Astyanax mexicanus: one gene and its partners. The protein of the gene in region 2 purifies or fractionates together with the protein of the main gene of each other region. This does not show direct contact. Links are inferred from orthologs where the notes say so. Each region holds a gene or a part of one and is shown on either strand. Other genes may lie near its edges. The genes, in order: hbs1l, dis3l, exosome complex component RRP40 and exosc9.

Region 1 (7,070 bases), on a different chromosome or scaffold from region 2:
TCTTCTTCTTCTTCAGAAAAAAAAACAAAAAAACAGCTCAATATAATTTCTGCTTTAATTTATCCCACTGTTGGTAAGATAGGTGTCATAGTTCCTAACATTGTTTTAACTGTGTTATTATTTCACCCCTATACAGAAGAAAAAGACTGTAGTTGGATAATTCTGTACCACTGTGTGCATTAGCCAATTAGCCAGCATAAAAAGAGGCCAATCATGATGATGTTTTTGTTACTTTCTCACTAAGTGTGTATGTGTCTTCCTCTTTTGCCCCTTTCCTTCCCATTGCCTTAATGCTCCCTCTCTTGTTCACTTGCTGGCCCTAAACAAATATTACATATGATCATATATAATATGTGGGCATTAGAGAGCCACTATTAAAATGCGGGAGACTCCCTGAACTACAGTGAGAGGTGGGCTCTTGGGAAAAAAATACTCCAAACAGGCCTATTAATGATGTAGTATGAAAGAGCAGAATTATTTCGCTTTACTTTTTCATTTTATTTACACTATATGTCCAAATGTATGTCTAGCCACTGCAGAGGTATATTGGCAACAGAAAATTAACATATTGGTGTGGGCATTGAGAGTAGAGAGATATAAAGCCACCCCAGTATTGAGCTAATGCTCCATACAGTACTTTAGGGATGAGTTGGGAAGTTTGAGATGAGGTGGAGGTGGTGATTATCCAACATCGTGACCTCACTAATACTCTCTCACTATTGCACTATTGTATAAGTCCTTACAGCAATTCGACCAAAATTGGGTTGTTGTGTGTTGTTGTGAGATATTGTAAAACTGGTTTGAATTTGTTCAACCAATCAGAGGCAGAACTCTCCATTTCCTAGTATTGCTTTGTTTATCTAACTGTTTCTAATTGTTTCGCTGTGTGTCATTTTATTTAAAGTACAGTTTTTATTACAGGGAATTTAAGCAGTTTAACTGTTTCTTTCCATATAAAATATTTTTGTAGGTTAAACTGATGAATCACGTTTACTGATTATATTTATCCTAAGAAGTAGCCCTGAGTAAAAATACTCAAACTTTCCATCGACTATGGACACAGAAAAACTGCCAAGGCACTCTAGCCAAATGAATCAAGGTTGTGTGAGTATATCTGTATCTGTTTGTGTGTGTGAGTGTGTATGTGTGATTGATCTTCCTCTGCAGGTTTTATTTTTTTCTGTGCTGAAAGGTGTCATTCACATCTGTATGACATTTGACACTTGTGCACAGACCTAAATTTAACTCGGAACAAAAACAGACACCTGCAGTACTCACACACTTTCTCAACACTGCAGCTTTGAGGTTCTCTCGCCTCATGCTTTCTTAGAGTGACCTAAATCTACACAGAGTGAGGGATGGAGAGAACAAGAGCATTTCACGGTTCTTTATATGGTTATGTTCAGTGTATTTATGGACACCAATGTGTGGTGGATAGTTGTGGAGAGACTAGAAATAGGCGGTCACAATTACCAGTTTTGTAAGTGATATATTGTTCCAAAAATAATTGCAATAAATAACACAATTATTGTCTTTTTACATCACAAAAAATGTTTGCATCCAGAAGGAATCTTTTGACAGGAATGAATTTAGGTGGGTAGTCATGGCAGATCTTCAGCGATGAGTCACATATTTGTATTGGTTTGATATGACCAATGACCCCGAATGTGGAGGGACTGTGGTCAGCACCAAGATCAACAGTTGCAATTTTCTACAATGGCAGATCACCTTCAGACTTCATTAAAGACACTTTCACAGCCCAATGCCATGTTTTTTCCACTTTTTTTTTCCACTTCCATTTTTTCTCCCCTAATTTAGCTAGGCCAATTGGCCGACCCATTTATCTGCTAGTCAGCTGTATATCCCCCAACGCTAGTGATGCCACAACACAAGGAGAGTAAAGACTAGCACATGCCTCCTCCGAAACACGTAAAGTCTCTTTTCCAACTGAGTAGCATCACAGCGCGCTCTGAGGAAAGTTCCAATAAATCAGCTCACAGATGCCCTTTGCTGATCTACATCTAGGGTGTAGACGTCACCTAGAAGCATCTAGGTTGAGCGCCATCTACCCACCAAAAGAGAGCAAGGACAATTGTACTCTCTCAGGGATCCGGCAGCTGATGGCGAGCTACATGACTTTCGAACCAGCGATCTTCCGATCTCGCTGAAAACTCTCAAATTGACTACGCCATGTGTAGCTGCAAATTTTTGCAACAATTCCCCTTGAGATGAATAGCATAATAATGCAATCACACATTACTTTTAAAGAGCAATTCATAGAGCAACTTGACGTTTCCTCTACCATTGGAAGCTATGGTTGGTAGTGGAAAACTAACTGGGAACCAGATACCAAAAGAGAAAGTAAAGTCAAGTAGGGTAGGCACCATGCACATACCCTTCTTTTGCACCCATTCCACATACTTTTGTAACACCTTGTTAAGAAGTACTTCCAGTAAAACAGGACTCTCTGGAACAGATAAACTTGGACCTTTTGGCATTATGCCATGCCTAATGCTAGGCGTGAGCTAGAGGGGTATAAAGCCCTTCAGCACTGATCTATGTAGTGGAACTATATATGCTTCTAGATAATGATTTAAACACAAACTCAATCTTCGATTGTAGACTAAAATAAACTTGTTTAGTTTAGATTTGGTAATTTATATTTCCCTTTGGTTAAAATGCTGCAGATTCTAGTGTTTATAGAATTAAGGATATAATATAAATGCAATCTCTGAGGTTTGTAGATGATAAATTGGATGGATGCCAGTGTTTCAGGGTGCCCTTGTGTCTATGTTACCTCCTGGCTCTCTCTCTTTAGTCAGCCAGTGAACTAGGTAAATTCCCTTGATTTCAGAAGAAAATATGAATAAGCTTTTGTGCACGTTTGTTGCATATACTGCAGCTTTGTGCAAGGCTACCCAAACAGACATGTGTTACATTTGTATACATCTGTATTAGGAGTAAGACAAGGCGTGGGACTTATATTTAATGTGAATGCATGCATAATCATTTATGACAGTTTCATCAGTGAGATGCATCACATTATGTAAGACCTTTGCTCCTAAAGTCCTGCTGGAGAGACAGAAAGAGAGAAGAGAGAAGCAAGTGAGGGCAGAGGGGGGGAGAAGAAGGTGGTTTCCAGGACAGGATGAGGTGCAGCAGCTGTGGGAGAGTTTCCACTGGGAAATAACTCTCTCAGGGGATTTTTCCACCTGGTAATTTCTCAGTATGTCTCAGAGCCAAAGACCAGTGGCTGAAACAAATTAAATATTTAATTTGTATTTACCATTTAATTAAACATAACTTAATAATAAGGATGCACAAATGTGGCACTGTATTTTTAAGTAAACTACGACATAATTGTCTGTTTTTTTTAATAAAAAAATAGTACAAGAAACATTATTTAAAAAGGTTATTAAAAATAACCCACAAGACACCTTTTAAAGGTGTGTTTTAGGTTTTAAAGGTCTGTTTCAACCATTTTAACAATTTACATGCTTAAATTAAATTATGTTTTATTAGGCGTTTTTTTTTGCTGACCTGATTTCTAAAACTGAATGCTAAAATACAACTTGTATTGTCGTTGTTGTCGTGTGTCATAATTTATCATGATAAAGAATTAATTGCTCACTACATTTATCTAAAAGAGATAAAAATTTTGTCAGGTCATTTTGGAGAATTTGTATTGGTCCATTCATCAATTTTTATTTTTTAAACAATGTAAAGGATATTTTGTACGTTTAAATTGTGTAGTAAATTACAAATAAACAAAAATAATAAATAATAATAATAATAAAAAAGTATTTTATTGGACAGGAACGATATGTGTTTAAAGTAAATACAGATTTAAAAAAAATATATATAATCTGGAGCTTATGTACTATTTATGAAAGAACTTGGGGAACCCTAGAAGAATCCAAAAACTTTATGGCATCATTTCACTGTCTACCATGTTTTTGCAACATAAAACACATAAAAACATGCAATTATTGATTATTAAATAATTTAATAAAAACAAGATTAAAGTGACTTTTATTCCAAAAGTCTTCACTGCGCATGCGCGCCCTCGCCGCGTTGACGGGTAATCATGGCGGCAGTGGAGTGAGACGCATATGCCTGAACTTTAGCCTGGAAAAAGCACAGAAAACTCCCTGAATAAACCATGTCTCGCCACAGGAATGTCCGGGGCTATAACTACGACGAAGGTAGATTATATACCAGCTAGTGTGCGTGTGGCTGTCTCAATAAACGAGTTTTAAAAGCTGGAGATAAGAGCTGAGAGCTGGTTAGCTGGGTGGCTCAGTTAGCTTAGCTTAGCCTGGCCCGGTGTGATTGTTTGAGTGATGGCGTGTCAGTACTTTACCGCTGTTTATATGTAATAAACTGTCTGTAGAAGTTCCTGTCGTGCTTAAATCTGCTGTAGAATAGCTGTACTTACATTTATCACCTTTCAACAACACGCTGCTTGCGTTTCTGCCAGTATATTTTTAGCAGTATGAAGTTACTGCAGTGCTAATGCAGCTATCTGCATCTGCTAACCAACCGTTAGCTAACTTCAGTCTGAAACATGTCCATTTATGAGCTTAACTAAACACTTATTTGTGTTTATGCTTTGTGTTAAACATATAAAACATATAAACATATAAACTGTCTATATTTTAATGTTGTAGATCTGCTCTTTTGTGGTGTTATCTGTTTTGGTGAAATTGTGCAAATTAATAAACATTAACCTAATAAAAGCAGTCAGTAGTGTTCTTAATGTTTCACTAAATAAGCATATTTTAACGATTAAGATTTATATGAGGCTCTAATACATATATAAACTGTCTTTATTTTAATGTTGTAGATATGCTCTTTAATGGTATTGTCTGTTTTGGTGAAATTGGGCAAACTAATGAACATTAATAGCTAATAAAAGCATGTGTGTTATTAGTATTTCAGTAATAGAGCTTAAGTTAACGTTTAGGACTTATGTGTGGATCTAATAAATATATGAATTGTCTATGTTTTGAAGTTGTGTCAGACAATGCTGCTGTTTACAGGTTTGATGACCAGGCCATATGTGAGTAGCTGACTCAGTGTTTAATGCCATTTGGTACACTGTGAGTGTATTTAGAGCTGGGCAACAAACCGATATTTGATTGTATCGTGATTCATTTTGGAATTGTATCGACAATATGCTTTAATATACATATCAAAGATATCACCATTATTGCTTAAGGAACACCGATCCTGCTCTACTTTTCATTAGAGTTTTAAAGTGTTTAATTAATGGATGGCATTCAGCAAAAAAAAAAAAAAAAAAGCTGAATAAAAAAAACACTTTACTTTGCATTGAAGAGTATTTAAATAGCAGTGTTTTAAATTAATTGGTTTGACGGGTGTGCCAAAACATTGTTAAAAAAAGAAATATAATTTATTGTCTATACATATTGTGCTTTAAATAATGTTTTTACAATCTCTCTTTCCTAATTGAGCCTAATTTTGTCTTCTGTTCTCTTTTCCTCACAGATTTTGAAGATGATGACATTTATGGACAGTCAGTGGATGATGATTACTGCATCTCCCCTGCTACAGGTTGGTTCTACTGAGATTGTGGTAATTACTCTCATGTCATGTGACTCTCTGTAACAGTACTGATGTTGTGTGTGATGCTGGTGGTGTTGGCTAGGTTGTGTAGGCTGTGTTTTGTTGTTTTGATAAAATGAGGCGTAAATATTTTTCAAGTAAAGTCCAGTCGCCAAAACAGTGATAGTCAGTGATTAGTCCTTACCTCTGAAATGGCCAATTAACAGCCTCAACTCTAAGTTTATTTTTTTAGATGTTAGTCATAATTAATGAGGCATGAAAGTCGTGGTTTGGTTCTCACAATGGTTTGGATTTCACCCTTCTACCTTCCGAAAGGCATCATAGAACCAATCTTCACTTTGTTAATTTCAAACTCTTGAATGAAGGTGTAAATAATTTGGAGGAATAGTCTTTTAAAAATATCAGTCAAAAGCCCTGTCCGGACAGGATTAGTTTTTTTGGGGGGTCCTGAGGAAATTTTCTCTTTTATGGGGAGTCCTCTGTGATTATTAACATCCGGAATGACCATGTTTGGGCAAAATTACAGGCTGAATTATCTACTGTTTTTCGCTAATCTCCGTGGTCCTCCAGTAATTTTATTCCCGTCCAGATTTCTGAGTTCCGTCACCTCGAGTTTAATAAAATGGCTATTTGTCCTCTGTCACGCACCATATTTACACTTTGGACGCTTGTTTCCATGGAGATTCATGTAAACAAAACAGCGAGTGGAAATGGAGGAGCTACTGAACGCGGTGTCACGTTATCGAGAAAAAAAACCTCACAGGTCCCCCTGTTTATTTCAATTGCAGTCTGGATGTAAGAGTTTTATCACTGAGTAGAAGGGTGAAATATTTTTCACAGATGTCCCCCTGAGAAACTAATCCCGTTCAGATAGTGCTTAAGATGCTTTGGGGAAAGGGTTGTCAAACACAGTCCTAGAGGACACCACCCAGATGGACCACATTTTTGCTTCAGTCTGACTGACAGCCCAAAGAGATGGAGCACTGATTTAGGTAGAGAAGTGTCCAGCACAAGTTCCAGAACTGTGAAAAAGAATATCTTGAAATCTATTACAATTCCCACAATACCATGCAATCGTTTGGGTGAAACATGCTGTTGAATTTTCATCCTCTCTTGTTATCTGCGCCTTACAGCTTATTTTAATGCTCTGTGAGACTGTGTGTACAGAACCATGCCAAACCATCTGTCCTAATGCAGAAACCATTATGAATTATTCAGCATTTATAGCACATTCTGGAATTTAAGAGGTTAACCAAGAGTTAGTTTCCAAAGTGTTGCTTCTTTAGTTTTCTCTGCAGCTACAAGGCTAATATAGGAATTAATTTATCTCTCTGTATCATCTAAAATCTTAAAAAAATATATAATCCTTTAATAGCCTCATCAACCAAACTGACTAGGGTTTGAAACCCTGGTTAGGCTTTTACACATCAACACCAAAGATCGTCCTGAGCAGGTATTTTAAATCTACGTTGGCCTACCTG
Region 2 (6,935 bases):
CTTAAGCATTAATAATTATTTATGTTTAATAATGTCTAAATTAGTGTCCATTAATAACTAGTTAAGACATTTCCGAACCATTTAACAATGTTTATTAATGTGGAAGTATTATATCCTGTTATTTGTGACCCTTATTGTCATGCCGGCTAGAAGTGAGGTAGACATACTGTATGCAGATACTTAACATAAAGTTTATTAACAAAGTGCTTAAACCTACATGAGTTACGTGGGACAGGCTTGGTTAACATCAAAAGTGCACCAAGATACAACAACATACCGGGGGGAGTGGTCAGGCAAAACATGGTCATACACGAGTGATCCAGCAGAAAACAGTGCAAAGCAAAAGAAAGGTCTAAACACAAAAATAATGGTCAGCTATGGTAAACAAACAACAAAGAGGGCAAAAAGGGAAAGAAAGGAAAGAAAGGGAATAATGGCAAATACTAATGAAATGTGACATAAAAGAGCTGGCTAATCAAATTTAATAATCTGTGACAAGGAACAGAAACAGGGGGTATTCATACTAACATGACAGGTGTGTGTAATTAGAAGCTAGGCGAATTAGAACGATTAGCTGCGTCCGGAATGTCTGGTGTAACTGCATGCTGGGAGTCTTTAGTGAGTGCAACAGAGTTTATGGCAGACATACTGACATCTTCAGGACTGACATTTGCTGTAAACTGTTACCAAAACTTCAACAATACACTGTTGCTCAGACATTTTGTTCAATCAATTTGATAAAAAAAAGACAGTGTAAAACTGTCTGACAACCAAATTAGTGTATTATTTGGAGAAATTTTCAATAGATCACAATATTTTGTCTTGTAAAACTATAAGGTCTAGATTGAGTCATCCAGCAAAACTAATCTATCTTATTCTAAGGGGTAGTTTCTTAGACAGGGCTTAAGCTTAGTCATTGACTATATTTCAGTTTTAGTTCATAACTAGGCTTATTCCCTGTCCAGGAAACTGACCTGAACTATAAACAGAATTGGTTGATTCTTCTGTAGCTTTCTATTTGTGCTGGGAGTTAACTTAATAGGTTTTGTCCATTGTTAAGGACGGGTTGCTGGGGAGATTGATATCTACTTTGACCTACTGTGGTTTCTCCTGTTTTCTTGTTTATCGTGAACAGTAGCCTATAATAATAATGACTGGGTCAGTTTTCTGGGCAGGGATTCAGAGATAACTATAGGCTTTTTTCCCCTTTCAGTGTAAAATATGAATGTATAATAGTCTGCAGTACAATTTTATAAAATAAAAATGTAATAAAACTGTAAATAAAGTTTATTTTAGTTGTTATTTCCAAGAAATTGTTAGGCCTTCTATGTAAGCCTTAAATGCTTTATTGTATTCTCCGTTGTTTTACATACTGTATACTTATCTGACCCCAATATTTGCATTTGTCTTCTATTTATAGTTCTCAGGTTGGACAACAGCGAGCCTCTGGACCTGAAATACGATGGCAGTGGCTACTACAACCCTGGAGTTCAAGGAGACAATATCCAGATGACCAACTTCCCAAGAGGACACTCTAACTGAAGATTACACTGCTGTGCCAAGGAGAACACTGTTATGTGTGCTGGACCGTGATGTTACTGATTGTGAATCTGGGCAGAACGTATCTTTATTAAAGTATATATACAAAAATCTTTGTAAAGAAATAACGAAAATAATATGCCAAATGAATTTTGCCACTTTAAATGGACCAAAACCTCTTTTTCTTCTCATTTTTTCCCTCGTTCGTATTGACTGCTGGAAAAAAATGCACAGATTGAACAGTGTTTTTGGTGTTACATTAATTTTTTTATTCATTTTTCATTTAAATATAAATCATATGTAGTCCTGTGTTATCCCATTTCAGTAAATATTAATATTAATATTAATCTAGGGTTTCACATGACATCATATTATATATATATATATATATATATATATATATATATATATATATATATATATATATATATAAATCAGGGAGTGCCTAGCTAGATAGCTCGCTAACTTTGTTGAAGAATCTGTTGTAGCTAACAAATTAGTGCCTGTTCCATCAGTATCAAACTTAAATGATTCCATTTTTTGTGAAAATGTGTTATCCCATTTCAGTAAAGATTATATGATTTAAGTAATAGTTAGTTAAGTAATGTACATCAAACTATAAGGAAGTATCCTGAGTGAATATAAGTTATTTTAATAAAAAGCTTAATTATGGTACCTTTTATGTGTAATTTCTCTACTGGTGGAATGGGCACTAATCTGTTTGCTAGGTAGGTACTTCTGTTGATGTGTCTTGCCTTGCTTAGACTGTAATGCAAGCTAAGCTAAGCTAAGCTAAGGTAAAAAAAAAGGCTTAGATGTGGTTAGTGCTATGAAAATCTGAAGTTCTTTATTAGTCACAAACACAAAATATCTATATCTTCTTTTTGAGGTACCAGTGTACCTCAGGTTTTCTTCTAAAGTAAGATGCTAATTTTAGTAATATTTCACCATTGACTATTGGGAAAAACAGAAATTAGCTTCTAAATTTGTTGGGCACAACAAATGTGTCTGAACCCTTGAATACAGTTATAAGCTGTTTAATATAATTCTTCTTATTTTTATTACGTAAATGTAGTTTTATTAAATAATGCTGGTAATATTTTGATTCAGTTCGATATTTTAAAGATCTTTGTTCCAGATTTATTAGTAAAGATGATCAGATGATAGGTCAGACAGCAGAATGGGCTTCTGGGAAATGCATGTGTATTAGAACAGTTTGTGGTGTTATTATGTGGATCTACTTGATGTCATATTGAAAAAAACGAGTGTTCATATTAAAAAATATATTAAAAAATCAGGTTCTGAACTTCTTCTGATCTGTAACAGTGATTGTGCAGAAACTTCAAAACTTCTTAAAGATACTGTAGACAGCTCTGGAAAACAATTAGAGGCCACATAAAAAGTATGGGTTTCTTTGATTTTACCAAATTAAAAACCTCTGGAATATAATCAAGAGGAAGATGGATGATCACAAACCATAAAACCAAACTGAACTGCTTAAATTTTTGCACCAGGAGTAAAGTAGCATAAATTTATCTAAAAGCACTGTGTAAGACTGGTGGAGGAGGAGAACATGATGCCACAATGCATGAAAACTGTGATTAAAAACCAGGGTTATTCCACCAAATATTGATTATTTCTGAACTCTTAAAACTTTATGAATATGAACTTGTTTTCTTTGCATTATTCAAGTCTGAAAGCTCTGTATCTTTTTTGTTATTTCAGCCATTTCTTATTTTCTGCAAATAAATGCTCTAAATGGCAATATTTTTATTTGGAATTTGGGAGAAATGTTGTCTGTAGTTTATAGAATAAAACAACAATGTTAATTCTACCCAAACATAAACCTATGCATAGAAAAAAACAGAGAAATTGATGGTCTCTTAATTGGTTGGAATATTTTATATAATAAGTTTACGGTTATTCAATGCAGATCATAGATAATAACACTGGAGCACTCAAACAATAAAATAAACAAAAAAGTTTTCAAAAGAAAATGTGTTGGCTAATTATTTCATGAGCATGCATAGCCAGGTTTTCACACAGTGAAGCAGGATGTGGTTGCACACGAATACTGTACATTAATATATATATATATATATATATATATATATATATATATATATATATATATATATATATATATATATATATATATATATATATATATATATATATATATATATGTATGTATATAAGTGACCTTTAAGGCATCTCCAAGTGTCCTATTGGACATCTCCAAGTGTCCCTTTGGTATCTCCAAGTATCTTTTTCGGGAATCTCCAAGTGTCCTTTTGGACATCTCCAAGTGTCCCTTTGGTATCTCTTTGGAGCTTCGGGTTCGCCGTCTGTACTTCACACTCCGGATCGGTAGGGGCGGTAATGCGCTGTGATTGGTCTGAACTCCGGGAGAAGAAGTTAAGAGGCCGGCTGTTTGTTGTTGTTTGGTATATTAGAGTTATCATAGAGTTAATATAGAGTTAATATAATGTTTAAAACGGAGAAGGTGCTGCATTTAAAGAGCAGTAGAGGGGGGAAGGTGCGGGTGGTGAGGGAGCACTATGTGAGGGAGCGGGTGAGCTGCGGCTGCGCAGTGTGTGAGGCGGGCTGTGACCGCGGTAAGATACATACACTACACTATATTACATTATATATAACCACCACAGCACTCTATATAACTATATAACTATATATACATGTATAACTATAACATTGTATCACTATAGAACTTACACATGTAACATTTTCCCTGTGGCCAAGAGATACAGCTTACAGTTAACGTTAAACCACAACACTGTATAACTAACAGTAATATAATTATATATCTTTATTTAAACCTATATAACTGTAAAACTATTGAACTATAGAACTATTTTATTGTATAAACGTAGACCTATAGAGCTGAATAACTATTGAACCACATATCTTTATCACTGTGTAACTTTTGAACTATAAAGCTGTATGATTGTAAAACTATATAACCATTGAGCTATAAAGCTGTATAACTGTATATATGTAGAACTATAGAGCTGTACAACTGTAGAAATGTATAGAACTGTAGATCTATAGAGCTGTATATCTGTAGAACTATAGAGCTGTATAACTGTAGAACTATTAAACTATAGAGCTGTAGATTTGTACAGAACTATTAAACTATGGAGTTGTATAACTAACGTCATAGAACTATAGAGCTGTATAATTGTATAACTGTAGAACTATTAAACTATAGAGTTATATAACTGTAGAACTATTGAGCTGTATAACTATATAACTATTGAGTTGTATAATTGAAGGGCTATTAAACTATAAAGTTGTATAAGTGTAGAACTACTGAACTATAAAGCAGAAGAATTATAGAAATATATGTAACTGTATAACTGTAGAGCTAAGGAGCTGTATAATTGTATAACTGTGTAACTATAGAACCATATGACTATATACCTATAGAAATATATAACTATAGAATAATATATCCATATAACTTATACATTTAACGTGAGACAATACACTTATTATCTCTTTAACTTACCTTAATATCAGATTTCCTATTTAACCTAGATAATATACTGCTTTAACAGAGTGATTTTGTATACAATCATAATAATGGAACAAAATAAGTGTGCCATTTATCAAAATGTACACAAATGTATCACAGTTTGATAAAATAACGTCATATTGCCCAGCTCTACTGCTGTAGTTTTATAAAGTATATGTATAAATTATACATGCTAATGCTCCCACTGTGCTCATATAGATGGTAAGCTGCTGTCTGGGGATGTGACCCACTACGTGGTGCCGGATGCTGTAGTGGTGCGGGACTTTCTGGAGGTCCTGGAGTTTAGAGAGTTGCAAGGGATTGTGTTTACCCAGACGGCCTGTCAGGCTGCACATCACGCCCGAGGACGGAGGTATGCTGCTGATACGATGTCTGTTAAATTATATAATTTAACAATGTTAAATTATAACACTCTGAGGCTGGATCAGAGTCTGAACCAAGGTTACATTGTAGTCTGTACATTTAGTTCATTGGTTTCACTCTGCATAACTTTACTAAATGGGTGGAGTCTCCCTATACTATACCTGCACTGATTGGTTTGTAGAATATTGTCAATTTGATGAGATGCATTTCCAGATGTTGTGCTGAATTCTGTCTACCTGATAGAATTTGACTCCCCAGTCATGTGATTTGATTTATTTCAGTTATTTCAGTTTATGAATGAAAGTTAATCTACAGTTACAGTAGTTACAGTAATCACCAGAGTAATCTGTTGTAGCCATACTGCTGCGTGATGCGCCTCTACGTGAAGGTAGTCGGATTTCGGCACAAGACCAGTTCTGTTTCTTCTTCTATTGTTTAATAAGTGACGATAGCCTGCCTCAACTTCTCGTAATTGGTCCGAAAGTCCTAAACCATCTGTAAAATTGTTTTCAGGTTCATTAGATCCAGAGTGAGACCACTTAAAAGGCCAAAAGGCCTGACCAATTTTTGGTTTTGTGACCTAGAGTGTGGATTGGTCCCTTGCTAAATTAAATAGTGTGTGGAATGCAGAATGTCTTTTTTTCTTTCTTTCTGTACTGTGTATGTCAAATTATTCTTATTATTACATTCTGCAGGCACTATAACAGGTTACGTGGTCTCCTGAAGGACCCCCGCCATGACTGCGTCTTGTTTGCCAATGAGTTTCAGCAGTATTCCTACTGCCCCCGAGAGAAAGGAGAGACGCAGGAGAAATGGCACACAAGGTGACTGATAATTTAATTTAGTGTGATTTGTGAAGCTTATCATTCATGATATTAATGATGATATCATGATATCACGATATTAGACCTGTCACAATAACAGCATTTTGTGGACAACATATATTGCGATATATTGATGATGATGATGATGATGATGATGATGTAATCTAAAGACCATATAATGCCAACAAAATAACGAAAGAATAAGAGGATAATAAAGCAAAATTGCATTAATTTCTAATTAAATAAATAGTTTGGAATGGCCATTCATTGCACCACTGGCAAATTTGTTTTTGTTAATTTAGTAAATTAAGTTGTTTTACATTTGAACAAGCATGCAAATAAACACATATGACACCAAAAAAATCTGTAATTTTCATATCTATGCGTATTTTACCCTCTTCAGTAAAACAGATGATGTAAAGTATTGTAGAGAATCATTTTGTGATGTATAAAGAATCAAAGAATCGCAGTATTTTGATATCAATACAAGCTGATCTTGAGCATTTGTGCTGGTTTCAGGTGTGTGTATCATGCAGCAGTGTGGTATTATAACCACCTGGCTGGTCTGAAGCCAGTGGTTATGATCACAGAAGACCAGGACGCTGTTAAGGAGTACAGCAGTCTCAACAGTGGGGTTTACGTCATCTCAACCC
Region 3 (7,858 bases), on a different chromosome or scaffold from region 2:
TAATAATAATTTTGCCACCAAGTTTGACTCCAACTTTCACTGTAATCTGCTGTAATGTGTGCAATACCAAACACTTCCTGAGATTTTCATACTCAGTGAAATAAGTTCTAATGAAGAAATCCTTACAACCAAGCGGAGATGTTTACCCGTACAATAAAATAAAAAATAAAAAAAGGTTTTTATTTAAAGGTTTTTCCTCTATACAATTTGTCATACATTTTTTATTTCAGCGTCCCACGTTGACTTTATCTCCCCTCAAACATACAAGTATACAATAATTTTAATTAACACCACTAATATTAATTTAATAGCATTTTACATTTCTAACATTCATTCTTCTATTTACATTCAAATGTATATATATATATATATATATATATATATATATATATATATATATATATATATATATATATATATATTCTTTACAAATAAGGTAAATTATTGCTTTTTTAAACATTTAAATAGACATAATAGCTTTGAATTCTTATGCATATTTTTACAGAAAATGGCAAATTCATTTAAAGATTGTGTTTATCTACGCAGTACAAAAAACACCATGTTATCTGGCTTTAAGAAAACTTCTGTGTATGAAACAGACTTTGATTAGAATGCTGAATGTTGCAGGATTTAGACTGAATGCTAAGCAGAAGATTTCTGATGTATTTTTCTTGTCTTTTGTGTACAGCATTATCATCGTATTTTTAGGCTGCTGGCACTCTGCATACCTGCGTACTAATCCCAGAGAAACCTTGAAGAGAAGCCCGTCCGCTCCAAATACTCCCATCCCATTGGCCCGCCCACAGCTATCTATGCACACAAGCTCCGGCTCCATGTCTTTGTTGGCAATAGTGAACTGTGCATAAACCAGATCTCCAACCTATAAAGCACAGAAACAAACAGTCAGACAAACTAAATGAGCTGCAATAATTAAATAACAATATCTGTTATAAAAAAATATCTGTTTCTGTGGGATACATTAGTTGGATTAGGTGAGTTTGGCACAATGAAAACACATGAAAAATGTGGGCGTCCAGGACCAAGCTTAAGAAATACTAGTTTGGACTATGTTGGGCTACTGATTTTGCTATAAACACACAGTGTAAGCAGTGAAGCATGCTTTTTTCAAAAGGTACTGTACCTGCACATTGGGTCTGTTCCTCTTGGTGGCTCCTTCAAACGCTAGGTAGGACAGAGATGCCTGCTCACTGCCTCCAACATCCACTTTAAAGATGTCTCCAGACTTTGCAGTCACTATTCCAATCACACTCTCGCCCTTAACTGGAACATACTGGAGAAAATGATCAGTTAAAAGATTTAGCATGTACAGTATATACACAACAGTTATATTGTTCCAGTCAAAATTTGGACACACCTCTTCTCATTTAATGTGTTTTCATTCTTTTTACGATTTTCTTTACATTGTAAATTTAATATTGAAGACATTAAAGCTATATAGAATCACATATGTTTTAAACTTTAGATTCTTCTAAGTAGGCTCATTTTGCTTTGAGGACAGATCTGCACATTCTTGGCATTTTAATCTCAGTGTCTTCACTGAGGACGGTGTTCCTGGAGATTGGGTTGGGTTGAGGTGAGGGGATTGTTTACTGTGTAATTTCACATGTCCCTCTTAATTGTTTTCATGTATTTAATATTAATCTATGATGTATAAAATAAATATTAGAAAAATAAATATAGAAAAACATTAAATGAGAAGGTGTGTCTAAACATATGTTTTGATACTGTACTACAGTTATATATATTACAGTACAGTAAAGTAATACAGCTCTAAAAAAAAAAAAAAGAGACCACTTCAGTTGCTGAATCAATTTCTCTGATTTTGTATATGGTTAATGTTTGAGAAAAATACACACTGTTTTATTCCACAAACAACATTTCTCCCAAAATTCAAATAAAAATATTGTCATTTAGAGCATTTATTGAGAAATGAGAAATGGCTGAAACAACAACAAGATGCAGAGCTTGCAGACCTCAAATAATGCAAAGAAAACACGTTCATATTCATAAAGTTTTAAGAGTTCAGATATCAATATTTGGTGGAATAACCCTGGTTTTTATTTACAGTTTTCATGCATCTTGGCATGTATTCCTCCACCAGTCTTACACAATGCTTTCGGATAAGTTTATGCCACTACTGGTGCAAAAAAATCAAACACTTTATACATAGGTTTAACATCCATATTCCACTTGAATATATTGCAGAGGTTTTTAATCTGTTAAAATCAAAGAAACTAATAAGCAATAATTGTTAAGTGCTCTCTTATTTTCTTCCTCAGAGCTGTACGTAAGAATCTGTAGTCAGACCTTTTTTCAAAACTAAAAACCCAGCCAACTCCAGAATAGTTTTTGCTGGTAGCTGTTTTCAGATGGTCTAAGCTGGTCTTTGATGGTGAATGAGGTTAAGAGATGTTGGTCATCCAGGTTGATCAAGCTTGATCATACTGTTGACCTGACTAGTTAGCTTGTTTAGGTTGATGATGCTTGTAGTCCAGCTAAACAATCTAACTCAAATAGAATCACACCCCCATACTGATACTGATACTGGTCAGAATCGAATCTGGACAACAAGGAATTTCCGACCAGAAGCTGGGTGTGGAGCTTCGGCTGTGAAACTGAATAAATTCACATGTCAGCAGAACACACAGATAGACTGACAGCATGTGTGTGAGCTGGGGTTTGTTAAGGTTACCCTCTTCTGCTGGGAGTCTATCCAGTACAAGTTGGGGGCTTTATGGCGGAGAATCCCACTTTTGTACACCAGGATTTCGTCCCCGTTCCTCCGCAGCCCCGGACCGCAGATCACCCGCTCCGCCCGCACAGCGCTGCCCTCCACCGCGGACACGTCGAAGCAGAACACGTCCCCAGGTAAGATCACCTGCCCTAGCTTCTCTCTGAAACAGGAGTAAACCGCCTCCATACTCACACAGGGCTCCTGCACATGTGCGAGTACTGACAACACCACACACACTCTTCCGGTACAGCGCAGGAAACAGCATTACAATATAAAAGTCCCCCTCAGACAACACACACAGCCCCCTCTGTTCACTGTAAAAAAAATACTGTAGTTCTTAAAAATGTCATAAATCCAATAATTTTTGTTTGAATCACACTTTTTTCTGTTTGTCTGTTTAGGTTTGTTGTTTGTTTGTGTTTTTGTTTTGATGTGTTTGTGATGTTGATTGTATATGCTGTGAATTTGACCTATTATTATTGCATGCTCTTGGATTGTATTGTATAGTTTTTTTTTTGTTTTAAATATAAATAAGATTTTTTTTAGAAAATAATGCACAGCTCTGGAACAAATGAGACCACTTAAAAATGTAGTTACTTTGATTTTACTAAATTGAAAACCTCAATGTAATCAAGATAACAAGCCATCATACCAAGCTTAAGTTATCCAAAAGCAGTGTGTAAGACTGGGGGAGGAGTGCATGCGAAGATGCATGAAAACTGTGATTAAAAACCATTTTTTAATATATATTTTTTGGTTTCAAATACAATTAAGATTTTTTTGTATATTATGTACAGCTCTGGAAAACATAAGAAACCACTTAAAAATACGAGTTTCTTTGATTTTAGCAAATTGAAAACCTCTGGAATATAATCAAAAGGAAGATGGATGATCACAAGCCATTAAACCAAGCTGAACTTCTTGCATTTTCGCACCAGGAGTGGAACAAAGTTATCCAAAAGCAGTGTGTAAGACTGGTGGAGGAGTGCATGCGAAGATGCATGAAAACCGTAATTAAAAAACAGGTTTATTCCAGCAAATATTAAAACTTTATGAATATGATTTTTTTTATTTGCATTATTTGAGGTGTGAAAGTTCTGCATCTTTTTTTTTTTTTTTGTTATTTCAGCCATTTCTCATTTTCTGCAAATAAATGCTCTAAATGACAATATTTTTATTTGGAATTTGGGAGGAATTGTGTTTCTAGAATAAAACAACAATGTTCATTTTGCTCAAACATATACCTATAAATAGCTAAATCAGAGAAACTGATTCTGAAAATGAAGTGGTCTCTTCATTTTTTCCTGAGCTGTATAATGGTGTTACACAAATATCCTTAAATATAGCCCGATCAAAAGTTTCAGGACATCCCTGACCGAGTAATACACAACAAGAAACAACTCACCAGGGTATTGGACGGTTGTCGGTTGATTTTAGCCAATCACTGTAAAGTAGGCGGGACTTGTCGGAATATAGGTGGGGATACAACTAGAAAACTACAAAGCTGCAGTTCCTTGTTCAGGTGTTTCCTGTCTTTTTTAACTCTGTTTCTCACTGTGCTGTGTTGTGTAATATCAGAGCAGTGAGCACCAACAGCTCATCTAGCTGCAGGTTTAGCCCTGGACCATGGGTTTCTTTACAGCCGGGGGATGATTATGAAGGTTACGTTAATTTAGTTAGCTAGTTGTAACTAGCCGGCTAGCATTTCTGAACTAGCATATCTGTAGCAGCTGAGCTGAGCTAGCCCGGTGTGTTCAGTGCGTTTAGATGGATGCCGCTCTGTCAGAGGGTGCAGAAGATCCTGACACGTATAAGAAACATCATAAACACCCCATGGATCCAGAGGTCTCTGTGATGCTGCACTGTGCTCCCTCTCAGGGTCTGGAAGAACATCAGATCCGAGCAGAGATATCGACCAGGTACCCCTTCTGTATTCCTGCTCAGTAGATAACTCAGCATTTCTCACACACCACACAAATCTCACAGCTCAACACCTATTACTAACAAGGGCCAATATTCAGTGTAATGTGCTTTAATCTCAAAATAACAAGGTAGTATCTGACAATTATGACTTACTACCTCAAAACAATGCGCATCTCAAAATAAGGACTTACTATCTCAAAGTTACAAGGTAGTATCTGACAATTATGACATATTGCCTCAAAAGAATGAGCATCTCAAAATAAGGACTTAGTATCTCCAAATAAACAAGTAAGTATCTGACAATTATATGATGTACTACCTCAAAATAATGGGCATCTAAAAATAAGGACGTAGTATCTCAAAATAAACAAGGAAGTATATGACAATTATGACTTACTATCTCAAAATAAACAAGGAAGTATATGACAATTATGACTTACTATCTCAAAATAATGAGCATCTAAAAATAAGGACATAGTATATCAAAATAAACAAGGAAGTATCTGACGATTATGATGTACTACCTCAAAACAATGCACATCTCAAAATAAGGACTTACTATCTCAAAGTTACAAGGTAGTATCTGACAATTATGACATATTGCCTCAAAAGAATGAGCATCTAAAAATAAGGACTTACTATCTCAAAAGAAACAAGGAAGTATCTGACACTTATGACTTGCTATCTCAAAATAATGAGCATCTCAAAATAAGGACTAAGTATCTCAAAATTACAAGGTAGTATCTGACAATTATGACATATTGCCTCAAAAGAATGAGCATCTAAAAATAAGGACTTACTATCTCAAAATAAACAAGGTAGTATCTGACAATTATGACTTACTATCTCAAAATAATGAGCATCTAAAAATAAGGACTTACTATCTCAAAATAAACAAGGTAGTATCTGACAATTATGACTTACTATCTCAAAATAATGAGCATCTAAAAATAAGGACTTACTATCTCAAAATAAACAAGGAAGTATCTGACGATTATGATGTACTACCTCAAAGCAATGAGCATCTAAAAATAAGGACTTACTATCTCAAAATAAACAAGGAAGTATCTGACGATTATGATGTACTACCTCAAAGCAATGAGCATCTAAAAATAAGGACTTACTATCTCAAAATAAACAAGGTAGTATCTGACAATTATGACTTGCTATCTCAAAATAATGAGCATCTCAAAATAAGGACTTAGTATCTCAAAATTACAAGGTAGTATCTGACAATTATGACATATTGCCTCAAAATAATGAGCATCTCAAAATAAGGACTTACTATCTCAAAGTTGCAAGGTAGTATCTGACAATTATGACTTGCTATCTCAAAATAATGAGCATCTAAAAATAAGGACTTACTATCTCAAAATAAACAAGGAAGTATCTGACGATTATGATGTACTACCTCAAAGCAATGAGCATCTAAAAATAAGGACTTACTATCTCAAAATAAACAAGGTAGTATCTGACAATTATGACTTGCTATCTCAAAATAATGAGCATCTCAAAATAAGGACTAAGTATCTCAAAATTACAAGGTAGTATCTGACAATTATGACATATTGCCTCAAAAGAATGAGCATCTAAAAATAAGGACTTACTATCTCAAAATAAACAAGGTAGTATCTGACAATTATGACTTACTATCTCAAAATAATGAGCATCTAAAAATAAGGACTTACTATCTCAAAATAAACAAGGTAGTATCTGACAATTATGACTTACTATCTCAAAATAATGAGCATCTAAAAATAAGGACTTACTATCTCAAAATAAACAAGGAAGTATCTGACGATTATGATGTACTACCTCAAAGCAATGAGCATCTAAAAATAAGGACTTACTATCTCAAAATTACAAGGTAGTATCTGACAATTATGACATATTGCCTCAAAATAATGAGCATCTCAAAATAAGGACTTACTATCTCAAAGTTACAAGGTAGTATCTGACAATTATGACTTGCTATCTCAAAATAATGAGCATCTAAAAATAAGGACTTACTATCTCAAAATAAACAAGGTAGTATCTGACAATTATGACTTACTATCTCAAAATAATGAGCATCTAAAAATAAGGACTTACTATCTCAAAATAAACAAGGAAGTATCTGACGATTATGATGTACTACCTCAAAGCAATGAGCATCTAAAAATAAGGACTTAGTATCTCAAAATTACAAGGTAGTATCTGACAATTATGACATATTGCCTCAAAATAATGAGCATCTCAAAATAAGGACTTACTATCTCAAAATAAACAAGGTAGTATCTGACAATTATGACTTGCTATCTCAAAATAATGAGCATCTCAAAATAAGGACTTAGTATCTTAAAATAACAAGGTAGTATCTGACAAGTATGACTTACTATCTCAAGATAACAAATTATATTTCTGAAGTATATTTAGAAATCAAGCGATTTAAACGTATCCAAATCTCTGTTCGCCCTGTCATCTTGAAAAAACCCAACCCCCTTTTAGAAAGTAGCCTTTGACGACAGTGCACTGACATCAAAAGTTTCATACTGTTTTATTTTCATGCCACTTGTGTCAGGGCCAGACAGGAATGAGACTGGTGCAGATACAATAAAATAACTTTTATTAAAGTTATAGAGTAGACAGGGGTAGTCAACAGAAACAGGGTCAATACCAAACATGCACAGTGTAGAGAAACCATACCATAACCGGAGGACAGTCCAGAGTTCATACACGGGTAGGCAATATCACAGGGTAGGCAAAAATCCAGAGTACAATAAACAGTCCAGGTCATACACGGTAATCCAACACAAGGGAGCAGGCAAAAATCAAAGTCGGTAGAAAACAAAAACAAGATCATACACGGAGAATAGCAAGGGCAAGAGAAACGCTTTGTATTGTAGGATTTACCAAACAGATACTCGGCGAGGTGTGAGCGTGAGCATGGTCCTTAAATACACTGAGTAATCAGTACTCGGGACTTCCTGGTGGCGTCATGTGACGTGTCATGTGATCGGGAGTGTGTGTTGTCATGGAGTGGTGCGTTCTGGGTATTGTAGTTGTTACTGTGAGAATCGCAGATAGAGCTGGATGTGGGAGACACAGACGTGCTTTCAGCACCAGACATGACAGTACCCTCCCCCTGAGGGACCGGAGCGGAGGCAGAACGGGGCCGACCCCGGCGACGACCACCCGGCG
Region 4 (7,251 bases), on a different chromosome or scaffold from region 2:
GAAGACATGAGAGCTGATGTTTCAATTGTGGAGTGATTTACATAAAAGCACAACCATTCAGATCACCCTGCAACTCAAACGGATGAAACTGGGATATTTACGGCGTGTTTGTTTATTATTCTGGACTCTTAATCACACTAAGCTGCAAATATGTGCTTCTGACCATTAGACACATGAGTGAAAAAATGAATTGTGGTAACAAGTATTAAAACCTCACGTTAGCTTGTTGTACAAAATGGATCTTTCCACTCGCCTGGATAGTATAGATCAATTAAATTAGCAATAAAACACAGACCCGCCTTTTCAGCGAGAAAGGTTCTACTGAGATTATAATGTTTAATAACGTTTAATAACCTAATCATTGAGCAGCTGGATAAGAGAAAGAGATGTAGCTAGGGAAGTCAGCGGTTTTGCACATTGGACCCTCTGAACTGAGCATATATATACGGGCTTCAACTTTACATTTTTACATCGGATATGGGGGGATGCTAAAAAAAAACTTAAACAAATGTGAAGGATGTGAACATAAGGCAAGAAATCCAATTCCTGCCAATTTTGCAGGAAAGTTGGGAATTTGGTAACCAAGCAGGAAAAGGACCGCTGAGTGAAATGTTCATAATTTTAAAACTGTGGTTGAAATTTTAACTTGGATTTTTTTTTTTGTTTTATTCCACTCTACAGTTCAATTTAGTTAAATTTGTGTGTCTTTTTGTGCTTTTGTGCACTCGCTCCTCTTGTTCAATTTTAGTTTTTTTTGTTGACTTTAATTCGTTTTTAACAGTTAAGCAATGAAAGCATGTCCTGATTTTTGATCGAAACTGAACAAAATGAAACATTTGGTGCCAGGGTTTTCATTAAATTTGCCACTTTTTTCACCACTGGGTAAAATTTATAGTCTACAGGAATTGTTGACCTGCTTGTCAAAGAAAAAAAAGCTGTTACAATTTTTTATTTACCATATAAACATTTTTAATATTCCAGCAGGCGTACCAACAAAGCAGCTAGCTAGCTACTGTACGTTTACCTCAACAGTTAACTAGCTAGCTAGTGAATTTACCTCAGTAGTGCTATTCTAGTTACATTATGTGAGTATTAACTGTATTTTACACAGTTTAAAGTAATTCATACAATACTAAAATGAAAACATTGCATCAAATGACTTGGCGTTAAATAAGAACATTGCTTTTTTTTGCCAACTTAGGACGTTTTTGTTTTTTTTGCCAAATAATTCAGTACATCCCTATTTGTAATTAATCCGTAGTCATTTTATTTTGTCAGGAAAACTGATAAATGTTCTATTTTGGAAGGAAAATTAACCCCCCGTATGAAGTTGAAAGTTGAAAGTGAATTTCAGCATGATAAGCAATGTTAAGCCCTTATAGCTTGTAGCCTTAGGAATTGATTAAGCCCATCTTTACTTGTAGCCTGTCCAAAGACTTTTTGCACCATTTCGTTCAATTTCAGCCGGAAGGTGAATAATGGGATAAAGCCTTCAAGTAGGCAAAGTTTTCAGTTTTACTTTTTTCCTACATTTTGCCTTAATAGCAGGCACTACTTAATGCTGCATGACTCTGCGACAGGCCGATTGTGAAGGAAGTGACTGGAAATCTTTCATTATCATCTCAGAAAAAGCAAAAAAAAAAAAAAAGACAAAAAACTCTTAATAAACCTGGTTTGTTAAGCACGTGGTTTTAAGTTAATCGATGTGTTAACCTGTGTTTTAAGTATTATTTTTATTTCTGTTCTTGTTCCTCCTCTCGTTTGCTCTCATTTGCTTCAATTCGTGATCAGATATATTAGCCTAGCTTGCGGTTTGAAATGCATGAAGTTTGAAATTGCGTTATAATTAGTGAATGAATTTCTATTTCCATTTTGGTTCTTCTTTACGTTGTTACATTACATTTCGCAGCCGTTCGGCAGAGAAGAAGAAAAAAAAAACGTTAAGGTTGTTTGTCTTAGTTTCTTAGTTTTTGTTTTTGTTTTTCTTTCTTTTCTGTTGTTCCAGACAGCTGTAAATCATACACATTGCTGTGTCGTGCCTTACGAATGATTGATTGCACCTTTGGAAGGAGGTTGTTGTGTGCTTGTGTTCCGTGTGCAACGCTCAGAGCAACATTTTCCATTTTCTTTGCTTGTTTGTTCTACCATTGCAGATGGTAAACAGATGGATATATGCAGAAATGACTATTTCATACCAGTGTCTTTTTATTCATAAACCCTGTGATCTGCGTAACGATACTTCTGCAACGTTTGGCTGTTGTGAATGGGGCTTGGCATGCTCTCAAATTATGTTTTAGTATCCCAGATCTGTTTTAAATAACCTAAAGGAAATACAGGTCATGGGCCATAGGTCATATGATCTGTCTTATTTGTGTAGGCTAATCTCTAATTAAGATATATAAGAATTATGGAGCGAGGTGATGTAGCCTACGGTTTTCTCACTCGGATGGAGAAACTGGCCCGTGTGTTAAAGCTGTGTATTTATTTTATCCTCTTAAAGACGAGAGATAGGACAACTTGGCAACCCTTGAAATGCAGTGGGTTTTATAGCAAGTTTATGTTTATAAATAAACTATTTTAAATGCTCTTGTTGTGTGTTTTGTGTGTCTGTGTTGCAACTTAATGACTAAAAACTCACTTTTTATTTATTTTTTTTTAACAATAGTATATTTTATTGTATAAAGAAAAATATTTTGTTTGCATTTCAAAGCCATTATGTTGGAAATTAAGCCACAAATAGCATTTCAATACAATAGAATGAACAACTGAAAATAGACAAAAAAACGTCTGGATAGGTGGAGATCTTAAAAAATCTTTTCTCTACAGTTTAGAGGGATAAAAAAAACACATTAACATTGTCTATATAGTTACATGTATACATACCTATATACATATACACACATGTACACGTTTTCACCTGCCTGCACACGCATAAACACTTTTATACATATACACAATTTAACAGTATGTACAGTATTTTAAGTATGTTTTCAATGTTTTCCACCTTTTCTTAAATAAATCAGTGGTTAGGTTTAACTGTGCTGTGGTGTTTTCCATAATACAAACCTTAAAACTCACATTTAAATACTAAGCAACAAATTTCCAATTATTATTATTATTATTATTGTTGTTCTTGTTGTTATTCTTCTTATTATTCTTGTTGTAATTATCAGGAAAACACACTAAAACAGTAAAAAAAATGAGTTAACGCATGCGCAGAGCCGTTAAGTAGCACAAATGGCCATGGCTAGCGCAACTCGAACACCGGCGTTCTGTCGATTTGTGCTACCTTGTCAAACCGTGCTACCCTAGTGTATATATAGGTGAAAATAGTTATTTTTTATTATACATATATATGTTCACATGGCTAGAACACTCAAACAATGTTAGTGAGCTTGGAGAAAACCATTATTATTAAAATTATCAGAAAAAAAAAACACATGAAAACGTTTTTAAAAAATGAGTTAACGCATGCGCGGAACATAAGGTAGCACATATCTGTGGGTAGCCGAACTCGACGGAACACCAGGAGTGTGTCCGAAATGGATTCCTACTCCCTCAGTAGTGTGCCCTATATAGGGAGAGACTGTGTAGTTCACTAACTAGTCATTAACACGCGTCCGCTCTGCTCACTTAAACACCTGAACTGTGTTTAAAACTTCATTAAAACACGAGCTGAGCTCTGAATTACAGTAAGTGAAGCTCTGAGCTGATGACTTTTATATTTACAGCCCTTTTACAATAACCACACCTTTTTTGAATAGAGCCGAATAAAGTTTTAAAAACCGAATTCTGTGGGGATATAAAAAAATTTACAATATAAGCAGAGGTTACACTAAAGCTGTTGCATTTAAATAATGGAGGTAGAATTACAGTATATTAGAAAAAAACGTGATTGAATGTTGTCTGTTTTGCCATTGAAACCTATGGGGATGGGTGGAGTTACACAGCTTTCTGCAGCCGAACAGCAGGGGGCGCCCGACCTGTGGTGGCTTCACTTTTAAGAGACGATGCTCTGTCCAGCTATATACAGTCTATGGGTTTACCTTAATTTCAATGTAATAATTTGGCAACCCTGATGGCTAGGCTGTCTGTTGCTAGGTAGCAAGACTCGCGTTGCATTCTGGGACACTCAAAGAAAAATGGCTGACACACTCAATAGTGCCCTAAAGAGTAAAGAGGGAGCCATATCGGTCACAGCCCGGCTGTGCTCCGGCTGTGATGACGCACTCAAACCGCGACGCAGCAGCAGCGTGACTGAGTGCAGACTGTGTTCCTACAGAGAGGTGTTTACTGAGACCGGGATAAACAGAGAAAGAGACATAGACAGAGAGAAATATGAAGGAAACTCCGCTCTCAGCCTGCGAGAGAACCTTTCTTCTGAAAGCTGTGGAGGAGAAGAAGGTAAGAGACTGATTTCTCTTATCTGAACTTAACTAGTTTATAAAACAGCAGCAGATCAGCAGGATTACTCCCAGTCCCACTGTTCACACCTGTTACTCACTCAGATCCAGTCTAATCAGAGATGCAGTGATTCAGGGTTCAGTGATTTATCTAATAAAGCTGTTTATATAAACCACAGAACAGAGTCAAGTCAAGTCAAGAGGCTTTTATTGTCAGTACATCTGAGTGCAGAAGTGACGGGTACAGTTCAGTTTTGTGTGAGTGTGTTGGGTGTGTGGTGTGGTGGGTGGGGTGGGGTTCGGTGGGGTTTGGTGGGGTGGGGTTCAGCTCTGTCTCTGTGTGTTGAGGAGTCTGACTGCCTGGTGGATGAAGCTGTTTCAGAGTCTGGTAGTAGAGGCTCTGTGCGTTGAGGAGTCTGACTGCCTGGTGGATGAAGCTGTTGCAGAGTCTAGAAATGGAGGCTCGGATGCTCCTGTATCTTCTGCCGGACGGCATCAGAGCGAAGAGTCCGTGTGAGGGATGGGTGGGGTCATTCACAATGCTGGTGGCTTTGCTGATGCAGCGTGTGGTGTAGATCTCGGTGATTGAGGGAAGAGGGATCTTCTCAGCTGTCCGCACTATCCGCTGTAGGGACTTGCGATCTGAGGTGTTGCAGTTCCCAAACCAGACGGTAATGCAGGTGCCCAGGATGCTTTCTACAGTCCCTCTGTAGAACATGAACACGTGTTATCAAATTTCATTCAAATGATATTATAAAATATTATCGTAAAATGATAATATAAAATGCTTTTAATATGATCAGGAATAGATGCTGCAAGAAGAAGAATCAAGTTCCTGTTATGTGTAACTCATAAGCTTATACTAATCTATACTATACTCTACTAGTACTATAATATATTAGTATATTGTTTAAAATATATATCTCCTGCAGCATTTATACAATTTCATCATAATAAGTGGTAACTGTGTAACCATTAAAAGCAAAAATATTTTCTTTAGAGAAATTACAGACTGTTTCCTACACCTTCGAAAGACTCGGAAACTGGAGAAAAACTGCTACAGGAAGAGTTACGTCTGGCTGATCCACATGGCAACAGCGCCTTCAGTTCAGATTAACAATAAACTAAGTCTCAGTTTCAGCAGTGAAGAGAAGAATTAGAGGTCTGACAGGTGAAGTGCAGTAATAAAATCATTGATAAGATTAGAAAAAAAAAAAACAGACTTCTACTGGACTTCTAAACAATAGAGGTGTCCTAAAACTTTTGACCAGTAGTCTATGTACATTCTATTTTATTATAATAATAAACTGTAGTATAGTTCATTTAAATGTTGTAGTATTAAGCTATAATATGTATGTAGTGCATGTAGTGTATGTGGTGAATCTGCATCATCAGAAAATAAACCATGTTCATTTATTTGTTTCAGCGCCTGGATGGAAGGCAGACATACGACTACCGCAACATAAGAATCACATTTGGTACAGATTATGGCTGCTGTACGGTCAGTCTCGGCAAAACCAGGTAAGCTACTGTAGTTTAATAGGAGCCTAACACTCCTGTCTCTAAATTTGTTTTTTAATTTTAATGTTTGTTAATGATAAAATAAGCTTGTGGTACACAGATGGATCACAGTACAGTGCATTAGGCTTATTTCTTTATGTGGTCTTAATAGTTTGGTTCATAAGTGTATATCAATAAAATTTAATTAAATTGAAATTGTTGTAAATATATATACAGTCATTCAGAATATGAAGGAACACATAAGGAGTCATGTAGTAACTTAAAAAGTGTTAAGCAAACCAAACAAGATACTCTGTGAAGCTTGTAGATGCATTTTATCAGGGGTGCTGTTAACTTGTGGTTTTTTAATGCTGGTAAATCCGTTCCTGATGAGTGCCAGTTTCATCATAAATTTTGATTTGGTCTTTGCGACTGAACTTAAGAATTCTTTAAAGTGTTCCAACATTTTTCTGATTGAATGAAACAGATTTAACACAGCTGTTAACTGAAAGCCGTTCCATTAAAAACCTCATAAAAGCTGACTTTACGAAATCTAAAATAGAAAGCATATTTTGGTTTGTTTAACACTTTTCACTTTACCAAATGATGACTTAATTATTAATCTACAATGCAGATAATTAAAAAAAAATGAAAAACCACTGCATTTTTAGGTTTATCTAATTTTTTGACTGTTGCTGTACATACAGCAGACAGATGGATGGTATGTATGTGACTGACTGTCTCTGTCTCTGTCTCTGAAGGGTGTTGGCTCAGGTATCATGTGAGCTTGTGCCACCCAAAGATTCACGTCCCACAGAGGGAATCGTGTTCTTTAACCTGGAGCTGTCCCCCATGGCATCACCTGCGTTTCAGCCCAACAGGTACTGTAGTACTGCTACACGAAGGCCATGTTCACGTAAATACAATAGATCATGAAATTTTATGTTCTACAATGTGTATCAAATTATTAATTTTATTCCCCATAACCTTGGATTGTTGGAATGGTATAAAGCTTTTAGTTTAAAAGCAGTTTAAATGAGTTTAAAAGTACAACAAGGTCTTTGTTGAATCCTAAACAGAACCTGGATTTGTCTCTAAAGACGTTACAGTTCTAGTCCATAGCAGTCCAGGTTTTACTCAAAAGAAAGAGTCTGTGATTGGCTGATTTAAACTCAGGATGGCAGGCTAATGATGCTCCCCTTCTCTATGGCTACGTTGACATTACAAGCCACATTGCCCAAATCTGATTTTTTTTTTTTGCTCAGATCTTGTCGGTTCACATTCACTGTAAATGTAAGTGATCTGTATCTGTGTGTAATGTGAACGAATCTCTCCCTGAAAAGCCTCA

The links.
Region 1: the proteins of dis3l (region 2) and hbs1l purify together in Homo sapiens (affinity purification with mass spectrometry; 5 studies listed by BioGRID and IntAct, with this or other methods). This does not show direct contact. The link is inferred for Astyanax mexicanus from reciprocal best matches to the Homo sapiens genes DIS3L and HBS1L.
Region 3: the proteins of dis3l (region 2) and exosome complex component RRP40 purify together in Homo sapiens (affinity purification with mass spectrometry; 6 studies listed by BioGRID and IntAct, counting the BioPlex papers as one, with this or other methods). This does not show direct contact. The link is inferred for Astyanax mexicanus from reciprocal best matches to the Homo sapiens genes DIS3L and EXOSC3.
Region 4: the proteins of dis3l (region 2) and exosc9 purify together in Homo sapiens (affinity purification with mass spectrometry; 3 studies listed by BioGRID and IntAct, with this or other methods). This does not show direct contact. The link is inferred for Astyanax mexicanus from reciprocal best matches to the Homo sapiens genes DIS3L and EXOSC9.

What each region holds. Positions count from the first base shown.
Region 1 is NC_064420.1:44,408,636-44,415,705, reverse strand, and holds the start of hbs1l (HBS1-like protein), read left to right. Parts: upstream 1-4,064; 5' UTR 4,065-4,162; coding exon 4,163-4,205; intron 4,206-5,511; coding exon 5,512-5,577; intron 5,578-7,070. UniProt on the Homo sapiens protein: GTPase component of the Pelota-HBS1L complex, a complex that recognizes stalled ribosomes and triggers the No-Go Decay (NGD) pathway.
Region 2 is NC_064430.1:4,908,885-4,915,819, forward strand, and holds the start of dis3l (DIS3-like exonuclease 1), read left to right. Parts: upstream 1-3,935; 5' UTR 3,936-4,027; coding exon 4,028-4,157; intron 4,158-5,293; coding exon 5,294-5,447; intron 5,448-6,153; coding exon 6,154-6,282; intron 6,283-6,801; coding exon 6,802-6,935. Other genes in the region: muc15 (mucin-15), read left to right, coding at 1,421-1,542. UniProt on the Homo sapiens protein: Catalytic component of the RNA exosome complex which has 3'->5' exoribonuclease activity and participates in a multitude of cellular RNA processing and degradation events.
Region 3 is NC_064409.1:67,969,512-67,977,369, forward strand, and holds the start of exosome complex component RRP40, read right to left. Parts: upstream 3,006-7,858; 5' UTR 2,942-3,005; coding exon 2,714-2,941; intron 1,292-2,713; coding exon 1,142-1,291; intron 881-1,141; coding exon 729-880; intron 1-728. Other genes in the region: uridine diphosphate glucose pyrophosphatase NUDT22, read left to right, coding at 4,523-4,674. UniProt on the Homo sapiens protein: Non-catalytic component of the RNA exosome complex which has 3'->5' exoribonuclease activity and participates in a multitude of cellular RNA processing and degradation events.
Region 4 is NC_064432.1:2,497,481-2,504,731, forward strand, and holds the start of exosc9 (exosome complex component RRP45), read left to right. Parts: upstream 1-4,228; 5' UTR 4,229-4,338; coding exon 4,339-4,404; intron 4,405-5,829; coding exon 5,830-5,924; intron 5,925-6,664; coding exon 6,665-6,784; intron 6,785-7,251. UniProt on the Homo sapiens protein: Non-catalytic component of the RNA exosome complex which has 3'->5' exoribonuclease activity and participates in a multitude of cellular RNA processing and degradation events.